Linked DNA regions of Schizosaccharomyces pombe. The protein of the gene in region 2 interacts with the protein of the main gene of each other region in a pairwise test. Each region holds a gene or a part of one and is shown on either strand. Other genes may lie near its edges.

The links.
Region 1: the proteins of fep1 (region 2) and grx4 interact in a two-hybrid assay, tested with the Schizosaccharomyces pombe proteins (3 studies listed by BioGRID, with this or other methods).

What each region holds. Positions count from the first base shown.
Region 1 is NC_003423.3:3,955,499-3,959,399, reverse strand, and holds grx4 (CIA machinery monothiol glutaredoxin Grx4), read right to left. Parts: upstream 2,017-3,901; 5' UTR 1,897-2,016; coding exon 1,162-1,896; 3' UTR 921-1,161; downstream 1-920. Other genes in the region: pph3 (serine/threonine protein phosphatase), read left to right, coding at 3,471-3,540, 3,656-3,901. UniProt on the Schizosaccharomyces pombe protein: Monothiol glutaredoxin involved in the biogenesis of iron-sulfur clusters. Binds one iron-sulfur cluster per dimer. The iron-sulfur cluster is bound between subunits, and is complexed by a bound glutathione and a cysteine residue from each subunit.
Region 2 is NC_003424.3:439,892-446,694, reverse strand, and holds fep1 (Fe-sensing transcription factor Fep1), read right to left. Parts: upstream 4,475-6,803; 5' UTR 3,127-4,474; coding exon 1,432-3,126; 3' UTR 974-1,431; downstream 1-973. UniProt on the Schizosaccharomyces pombe protein: Transcriptional repressor that binds the consensus promoter sequence 5'-[AT]GATAA-3' during iron-replete conditions to down-regulate transcription of target genes. Represses the expression of the iron transporter fio1 in response to high iron concentrations.

The DNA of each region.
Region 1 (3,901 bases), on a different chromosome or scaffold from region 2:
AGTTGTTTACTATGTAGGGAGGAAAACTTTAAGGCCCATCTCGTGGCTTACAACACTAAAGTAGTTAACAACGCTGCACCGCATAAGCATTTGTTGCATTATAAATTTATACCGTTGGTTTTCGTATCCCTAAATTTGTTAAGAACCTAAAGTTTGACAACACACTAAAAAGGTTTTCGTAATTTACGATGTAAAGGTGTGGAAAATTTTTTAGAAGGTAGCACCAATATTATTGGCTGCTTTTGCAAAGCCAAGTGACTGCTTTTTTTCAAATACTTACTATAAAAAGGCATCGTCCGCGATTTTGAAGACCATCGACGATACTCCATAGGATCATTTCTATAGTATACGTCCGGCTTGGGTTTCCTAACCTAGCCACAGAACTCAACACGGATGATGATAGAAGGCACCGTTGCCCGCAGAGTGAGAATTTTTACTTCTTTGAGGATGTGCTGATCGATTTGGCTTTTTGCTTAATTGTTGTGCTATCTTTATTTGCGATGATCTCTTACATGATATGTTCCTTTTGGTCGTGTCATGTAGGGCAGCTGGTGTTTTCTGACGTGTTTTCTGTACATTTCTTTGTAACAATTGTCGTGAATCGTTTGTGAGAATTGTTATAACTTGATGTGCATAGTCAAAAAGTGTGTAGATGATGAGCTAAGCAGTATTCGGTTTTCATGTAATATGTGAGCAGTAGGCATTGTTCGTGAATGAGAATCTGTTGTTTTTAAGTTGTGAAATAAAATGTAGAGAAAGGTGTAGTAGTCGATTAGTTCTTTTGTGTGGATACTGGCGCAGTTGTATTGCATACTCTAATTGTTTATTTTTTCTGAAATTTGGGGGTACTGCTAAATGGTAAAGTGTACGAAGTAATAGTTGCAATGGTAGTTCTGGCTCCTTTGTGTATTCTTAATTAACCTGGTTGCTTATTATGCGTTATTTACTTGCTTAAACTCATTTTATGTTATATAGTTTTATTAACATTTGTTTTGATAAGTTGAGGCGGTTAGTTAACAAAATTAAATTAACAGAAAACTAAATCTGCAATCGTATTATTATCTGATTATCCAATTTAAAAGTTATCTTTCACAAAATCATCAACATAAAAGAATGATTAAGGATATTAAAAGTACAATTCTTCATATGCACAGATAACAATTAATTGGGAAGCATCTCTTGCAATTCACCATTTTCAATCATCTCCGAAACAATATCTAAACCACCGACGAATTCACCTTTAATGTACAATTGAGGGAAAGTTGGCCAATCGGAAAACACTTTAAGACCTTGGCGTACAGAATCATCAGCCAATATGTTAAAAAATCCATACTGAACGTTTTGCTCACGAAGTAATCCAACGAGCTTACGACTAAAACCACATGCAGGTTCTGAAGGAGTACCCTTTAAAAAGAGCATAACATTGTGAGCATTTGTTAGCGTGCTCAACCTTTCATTTAGTTCAGAATCCAACCCATTTGGAGCTTTAGAGGTATTGGAAGTAGTGTTGGTAGTCTGAACGGAATTTACTTGAGTTTCCACGGACGCGTTGGTAGAGGATATTTGGGAGATAAGGGGTTGAATATACTCGTCAATAGCAGCCTTCAATTTTTGAGGATTTGCCCCCGAAATTCTAGCCAAAACTTTTGCTCCGTGGATTAAAACAAATAGAGGAACAGCGTTTACATCAAACGACTCTGCTATATCGGAAAATTTTTCAGCTTCAATTTTTAAGAAAACGGCATTTTTCGTGTCCTTTGCAAATTGATCAAAGACTTGGTTCATTTGCTTGCATGGAGCAGCCCATGGTGCATAAAAATTGAGTAAAATTATTTGCTCTTTTCCATTTTGCAATATCTCTTGAAATTGTTCAACAAAAGTAATTTCGACGCTCATTTCCAATCAAAATAGCACAGCTTGAGGAATTATTTCTTTTCCTACTTTTTTTTTCAAAAACCTAGTTTATTCTTTTTAATCAACAATCAACGCCCTATTTTTTCCTAGTTGGTTGTCGGCAGGTTCGGCTGAGCAGTGTAGAAAACGTATCTAGTAAAATCTCTTCCTTGCACAATAGGCGACGCAAATGATATAATTGCAGCAAAAAACATATCCAAGTAAATTACTCGAAATTTTTTAGTTAAACCACTTTTGATGTACGTTTTGATGATTCTTCTTCACTTTTTTCATTGTCTATTCATTAAACGGCATTCTCGATCTCATTTTTTTAATTACCATCGTGACTGATCAGATAACTTTATCCCTCGGTATTAAAACGTCTGGAAAATAATTTTTTCGGCAAAAAAAACTAGTGTGTTGCGCTTATACTCCGATTCTACGTAATACCCAAACAATTCTGTTAACATTTTATTTTTGTATGTTGTACATAAAATTAACAGTCGCTTTACTAGCCAAATGAGTTTATAACAAGCGACCAAAACAACCAAGATGAGATATGTTTCATACTTGATAAAAACAACAGCATACACATTGATTGATATAGTTAAAGTATTAAAAAATTGCATTGTACTGCTCAGGGCAAGCATTTCTTACACACCTCATTCTTTTGATAGTACGCAAATTGCAGTAAACCATATTGAAAGATAGAAAGAATATATTTCTAAAATCTTTTTAGTTATTTGAACATCTTGAGTTGCCGACTGAACATAAGTAAAGAATAGTATGCAAATTATGTTAAAGCTTCACATAAATTATGGGTTTGCAACACGAATTGACTATACAGTTTTTCTATATTGAGTGTATATTCCGCCACAGGGGTACGCCTTCAGCATACAGATTATTTTACCTATAATTGTGAGTGTTATCTGATTTTTACCAAGAAGCTATAGTGTTATGTAGTTTATTTCACAAAAACCCTATAACATCAAAGCTGCGCATTTGTGCGAACAATTTAGATCCGTTAGAACTATAGGAGTTTTTCTTATAATCTAGATATATATATGAGTAGGTGCACGTTCTTGTATTAGCGTTATAAAAACTCAAGATCAATGATAATACGGCATGCTATAATAATCATACTGGAGTAGCATGCAACTTAATTAAAAGATTCTAGTTCATCATTAATTTTAAGTATAAATGATTAAAAAAAAACAATCTAATACAAAAACTTGTGTCCATTTCATTTCGAGATGAAAGCACTAATAATGGTGGAGCAACCGTATTTTTCTGAAAAACAATCTAGCGTAACGCAACGTATGTGTCAATAAAATTCGGAAGCTGCTAATTAAGGAGGTCATGTTAATTATTTTAAAAGTCATTATCAAAAGGAAAACCGAATTTTAGTCACCAAAGCTCTACGCGTCATACCTCTTGACAGAGGTATTTTGACTTATTTAAAATTAAATTTCTTAAATGATACATAAAGTTGAAAAAGAATTTCACTTGTTTATTTTCTTATTCTAAAGGACCAAGTTATTCTAGTTTTCTTTACTTTATGTTTTGACGAGTTCAAAATGACTGATTTAGATTTGGATTGGCAACTTGAGGAACTGGAGAACGGAAGGTTAATTCCAGAATCAAATGGTATGTATAATAGTATTTATAGAATAACTTTTATCTCCGTCGATATAACAACGATCATTCATATTGGTTGTTCTTTGCCATAATTATAAGAATGGGGTCTAACGTTTTGTGGTAGTTGTTGAACTTTGTCAGCGTGTAAGAGATATTTTAATTGAGGAATCTAACATACAATGGATCTCATCTCCTGTAACCATTTGTGGTGATATCCATGGCCAATTGCATGATTTACTGGAGCTTTTTCGAATTGGTGGGTCATGTCCAGGTACAAAATATTTATTTCTAGGGGATTTTGTTGATAGAGGGTTTTACTCTGTAGAAACATTTCTCCTGTTATTGACTTTAAAATGTAAATATCCGAAAG
Region 2 (6,803 bases):
CTTTGCGCAACATATCCTTAACGATTCGTTAAAAAAATATCGTTCTAAATATTATAGCATAATGGGATAACGACAAATATTATAAGCATTTTTATGTCAAGTCCAATCAATCATCTATCAGACTATCCAGAATTTATATTTTTCTTTTAGATAATACATGTGTCTTTAATTATTTGAATACCATGAAGAACGCCCGAGAGGCATTCAATTGCCTATTTATCTGATTCATATTGCGAGTATTATTCTACGATCGCATTTGCTCTCTTCTACAGGCTTAACACTTTGGAAATGATGAACGAAAAATGTGAAGTTCATTAATTTGTATTCATTTTCCAAATTATTGCATTAATGTGTTAGCTCTTTCATGCTAAAGACTACTACCTAAACTCGTTGATTTCAACTTGCAGAAAACAATATTACAATACACTTGAAAGTATAGTCAGCGGAGAATAGAACAAATGGAGTAAATTATTATAACAATCCAAAAATATGTTACATTGCTGTTAAGATTCAGAAAAGCTTAGGATGTTTAGAGTAGTAGTGTAGATTAACTGTTTATCAATATTATACTAAAACATCTCATTATGGTTCAAGTTCGCTATTGTTGAATTTTACAAAAAGTCTAGTCCCGCCGGGGATCGAACCCGGGACCTTCTCCGTGTGAAGGAGAAATCATACCACTAGAACACGGGACTGTTGGTTGTTAACAGAAAAACTAAATGATATATATCATAATTACATTATTATTGATTTAAATAGATTAAATAATGAATAGCGAAGTTATTTGAGCTGAAAATTAAGTGTAAGTTTTTTATATATGTGCTGTAATGAACAATTAAAATTTCAGCCTAATCATATAGTTTTAAAAGTCAAGCAATGACTTTTTGCGAATGAACTAATTAACCATGGATACTGCTTTTTACAAGCAACTCCATTTTCCGTTTTAAATAGTTGTATACAAATGTTTTTTCCCCCGAAAAATTGTAAAAATATATTAATGAATTGACAATTTCCAAATGAGTTTGCACTCGGGCAGTTTAAATATATTTAATATATTAACTATCTACATACCATATAAATCCGGTAGTATTATTTTTTCTCAATATCTGCTTTTTCGATGCGTATTAATATCATAAAAAATGCTCCACATAGGATTTCATTAAAAACATATATGTTAACTCTAAATTTAACGGTAAATCGCTAAGGACTGAATATTATTTTCCAGCTCTTAACGAATATAACACCGCAGACGGACTTGGCCAATACCAAAACTAACGCAAAACAAAAGACCAATAAGAATCATGTGAAGTATTTTACCCTAAACTCATAGTATACAATGTCATGCTTGTAAGTAATAGACAGCTAAACGGGATAATATCTAATTTGTTTACCATAAATAAATATGCCGCACGACAAACATGCCAATCAAGTTTATGTTTGAAGAGCTCCAGATGCAACAACAGCAGGGGTTGAGGATTTAATATGTTCAGAAGCCATATTTTCATTGTCAGAGGACCTCAGCCATTCATCTATTTGTTGAATGTGCTGATTTAAATTGTGCAACTCCTGAATCATTAAATCATGCTGAGAACGCAATTGCGAAAGAACATTCAAAGCATAATTGCGTTTATCTACATTTGATCCCTGAACTTCAGGAGGAAACTGCAAAGAAACCGGCGAGGTAGAGGATTGGATTAAAGGAGCTTGCTGAGATTGCGAAGGTGAAACTTCTGATTTCGGTCCATTTGACATTGATGGCTGCTTGTCGGAATTTGAGGGTGGCTCTTCGGGGTTAAGTAAGGAAGCAATTCCTTCAGCAATCCTTGGCTTTGCAGAAGTTCGAGGAGGCAAACAGACTGACTCGCCAACAGGAAGGATAGGAGGTAAATGAAACTTCATGCCTAAGGGGTTGGATTGGTTGGCAGTTGCAACGCCATTATTATCCGTGTTCGATGTTGTAGATTCCGATAATTGCTTACTAGAATCATTGCCAACTGCTACAAGCTGACCAGGGTATACTACTTGATTAGCTCGTATACCATTGGGAACATACTCATTTTGGTAAGGAGGCAATCCTTCATGCTTGTTCTCAGGAAGAGGCAATATTGATTGTTCCTGAGTAGGACCATATGAGTAATAAACTTTCCCATTATTATCAGGTTCACCAGCCGCTAACCGTGACAATGTCATCAATGGTGAAGGATTGAACGAAGAAGGCAAGAACCCGGTAAAATTGCTGTTGTATGAAGGAAATGTACTAGCCGGAGGTAATACTCCAGTATTCATTCCATGCTCAGCCAGACCTTCACCAGAATTTCCAGAAGCATGGCCATTACCATTGGGAAAAGATTTAGAAAAAGGACCATCCCTTGTAGACTGTTGCTTAACGGAAGATCCGGAATCCCCACTTGACATTCTTTTTAAGTTGTGTTGCGACTCATTCGCATTACCGTTAAAAACCAGCCTTTTTCGACGTTTAATGATTGCCTTCTTCATGGTAACGGGACGATGTACCCCATGAATTTTGTAATACAAACCACAAGCATTACAGATCGGATTACCCGACTCGTCGCGGCGCCACAAAGGAGTATTTGTGGTAGCACAGTTTTGGCAAAAAGTAACACTTGGTTCATGAGGAGGAGATGAGTCTTCATGCTGGTTATGACTAGAACGTCGTCTACTAGTGCCATTGCTAGTTTCAGTCGTGGTATCTGAAACGATTTGAGGTTTCGATTCTAGAGGTGTAGGCGAAGCTTTGGTTTCAGTGCTAGAGGGTACACTGCTAGGATTGGGAGATAGACTTTTGCGTCCGCTCTGAGACTTAGAAGCATTGAGACTTCTTATACGATTATTTAAAGCAGGACAACCAGTACATGAAGCACTGCCACCCGTACCGTTACAGAATCCATCTCCAGCACAGGTTCCGTTTTTACAAACTTGCTGTATCAGTGGAGAAATGTCTTTTAAATCTTCAGATTTGACAGGACGGGCATGCTTGCGATGTTTTTGATATAAGCCACAAGCATTGCACAAAAGGGAATTATCGGGGCCACGACGCCATAAAGAAGTAGTAGTTTTGTGGCAGTTGGAACAACTTTGGCCAAAAGGAGCAGGTTTCGCAGCCATTTTTTTGGTGATATGTAAAAAAGTTAATTACGAACGAATCAAAGTAAATGCTAGCTTTAAGTGAGTTGTACTGAACGAAATGATCCAAGCTTATTCACAATGGAAAATAAAAAAAAACAAGAAAACGATTGTATCGATATGTACAAATTGCAAAATTGATTGAACCCAGATGAGAACCGATGGATTGGATTCAAAAAATTTTGAGATTTCCGTAATGGATTGACAAGAAATTATAAATAATAAATTATTCTTCCTTGATAAAAAAAAAACAACAAAAATATGTGTAAAATATTAAAATGGAGAGAAAGGAATGCGCACGTTCCAATTATGATAAATATAAAAAGGGAATAAAGGAGTCAGAGAGAGATGCAAAAAAGCATAAATCTCCAAAAGTGAATTCAAAAATCACTATTAACAGAGAATATGTTAAAAGGTGACAGAACTTCGTGAATGATTTATTTTCCGGAATTTTAACGGAAACACAACAAGCATAGGACAAAAAAAGGAAAGAAATAGGAAAGGTAATACTGTTCAGTAAAACCAACAAAAAATAAAAGCCTTAAAGTACCAAGGCACCAAATTTCAAAGGTAGTACGAGAGATACTACGGATGGGATAATAAGAACAAAAATAAGAACGTGAAAGTTTTAACAGAGTGTTAAAGGAAACTTTTCAACAAAGTTAAAAAGTTAAAGATACAATAAATAGAAAACCGACTCGCAGAAAACAAAGAGCCTATCCTATGAAAAGGAATGGCAAAGCAAAAAATGTAAAAAAAAAAAAGAGTAAAGAAACCTTGGAGAATTCGAACAGTTTCCAATGGTGGTTAAATAAACCAAGATGCAACCTATGAATTGAGCGGAGAAATAGATACCAAAAAGTCAATTATCATAAAGCAAATTCAAAGAAGTGAAGAAGCTTTTTGATGGAGAATATTCACCAAATCCAGTAAGATGAGAGTGAACTAATGAAAAGAGTCTTTATCACACCAACAGATCAAAAGAACTGAGATGAAAAGTAAAAAAATCGTGATGAGAGCAAAAAATCTTTATTAGAAGAAGATCCTTGCAAATAACTCATACGGCGATAGTAGTTGTGAAAAAGATAAGTCAAAAACTAACTTTGCGTAGAAAAGAGAAGGAAAAAACGAGAAATAAATGAATTTTCAAGGCAAAGTCGCTCAGACTCCGAGAAAAAGGAAGAGCACTTAAACTTTATCGACAACAGTACTATTAAATAGTAAAAGATAACGATCAAAAACAATACAAGTAACTTTATCTATAAGCTGTCTTTTAATACTTGTAGAAGAAGAATGGTTGTGGGCAAATTTTGTTTATGCAGATATGTGTGAGCTTAGATAGGGAAGGAGATCGGGTAATTATATTGAAAATCCAATTGCGGTGGTGGTGGTTCAGGTAATATGGCCCAATCAGCAGAAATGAAATTATCAAGTAACGAAGGGGTAACAATCAGGCACCGAAAAAGCGAGACCAAAAGGGAGGCAGTTTTACAAAGAGCGCGGAAGACTGCGTTAAAACGATGGACTGAACAGTCAACCAGTCCAGCAGAACGAGCCTTAGGTGCAATAAGTAGAGTATTTTCTTCTAGGAAGAAAAGGATAACCGGATTCGAAATAAATGATAAAACTACGATAAGGTAAATTTATGTAGTAAAACAACCGGTATTTGTGTTATGGCGAAGAACCCGGCAAGAGTGTAACTATGGACTTGGAGCAAGACAAAAGAGACTTAACAAATGTAAGTGGTTTCTCAGTTTTACGTAAACAAAAGCTGATGGCCAAAATCGACAAATTTTTGCGGCCTCAGGGTTAAAAAAAGAAAGATGTGATTATGGTTGCCTGAAGCGGATAAAAAGATTAATCCAACTTGCAGAAAAAGGATGACCAAATTTAATGAAACTAGATTTTGGTGTGACCAAAAAAAAAAAAAAAAAAAGAACTTCCCAGATATCTAAATATATAATTATATCTATATAAGGGTATATGAGCAACACTATAAACGGTGTAAGTGTTCAATTTTGTAAGAAATAATCGACGATAGATAGGGGATAAGAACCAACACGGTAAATGACAATCAAGGATCAAACGAGAGCAATTAGGATATTAAATAGTGCTAAACCAAAACGAACAAAAAGGAGAATTGATTGCAGAGAAAGCGTTTAGAAGAGCGTTAAAACGGATGTTCAAGGAAGAGAAACTATCAACAGTGGTGGGCGAGCGGGTTGCAATGGTTTTACCAACTTTTACTATTTAGTGATGGTGAGGGAGATTGAATTGCCTGTTGTAGTTGCTGAATGCTTTTGTTTGATGTTGAGAGAATATGTTTGGAAAAGAGATAATCATATATTCAGTTCAGCAATACCAACTTTATCAAAATATATTTCCACTTTAATTTTTATACTCCATGCAGATAAAGTAGCTGAGATTTGTAAAAATCGTAAATCACTGAGCTCGAGTCTCGACAAGATGGTGTAGATCGATTTTGGCCAATTACATAAAGAACGATAATGATTTCAAAACCACGTGCGATAAAGCCTATATTTATCGACGGAGATATGAAATGAATTTTTCTCGGCAAATAGCAATGTGATGGATAGATTGCAAGAGGAAAGGAGAAAATGGGGGTGAGCGTTTATCGACCTGGTTAGGTTGCTGGATACCAAAGGAAAACCCACGCATCTTAGCTATTGAAATTCCTCGGAAATATGGAAATCATCTTATAGAGGAGAAAGAGTAGATGGGAAAATAAAATATAGAAAAAAATAAAAAACAGTATGCAAAAAACCATGTATGAAGCGGTGAGAATGGAAAATGTATTAGTAAGAGCATTAAAAAACCGAATATACAAAAATTTTGTGTTTTCTTAAACATCGTACTGTTTTTTTAAATAAATGGATTTTTGATAATGGATCTTATTTAATATTTCAACGTATGCTTTGGTTGTTTTGAAATTAGGTAGAGTTCATTACATATGGCTTATTAACTTAACTTGTAAAGACTGTTCTTTTCATATCTGAATTTGATATTCCCATATTGTTCACGAACTAGTCTCATGGATATAGTCTTTACTGATGTCTATTGATTGTACGTAGAATATCATGGTATGAACTTATTTACTTTTTTGAGTCGAGTTAACTTTACCTTATTTCATTGAATGTAATTTATTATTTATTTTATTTAGTTTTATTGATTTCATTTGTTTTTATATTTTTAAAGTATTATTTCATTCATCTGTCGCATATTTTTTATTATTTTATTTTATCGATTTTTTAGTTTCAATTTTTTATTTCTAGCCTACGCATTGGTTGACACTTAATCAATTAATTCATTAATTAAATTCAGTTAATTAGAAAATAAATATAGAATTTAAGTTTCTTTCTCACGATGAATTCTACTACATTGCTGACCAAAAACAATTTCAAATATACGCGCAATAATAATATTTTTTTTTTTTTTTTTTTTTTTTAAAAAAGCTAACTTGCACAGTTTATGAAATCCGTCAATTTCATCATAACTTTATGTAATAAGTCTTCATCTTCTCGATGCATGGATCCGTCAAACTGTCACTTTATCCAATATTCTACGGTTTATTCGCACGTCAATTTACTTAAATCGTTGATGATACATAGGATGCTTTTACTGTTTCATCATTAGTAAGA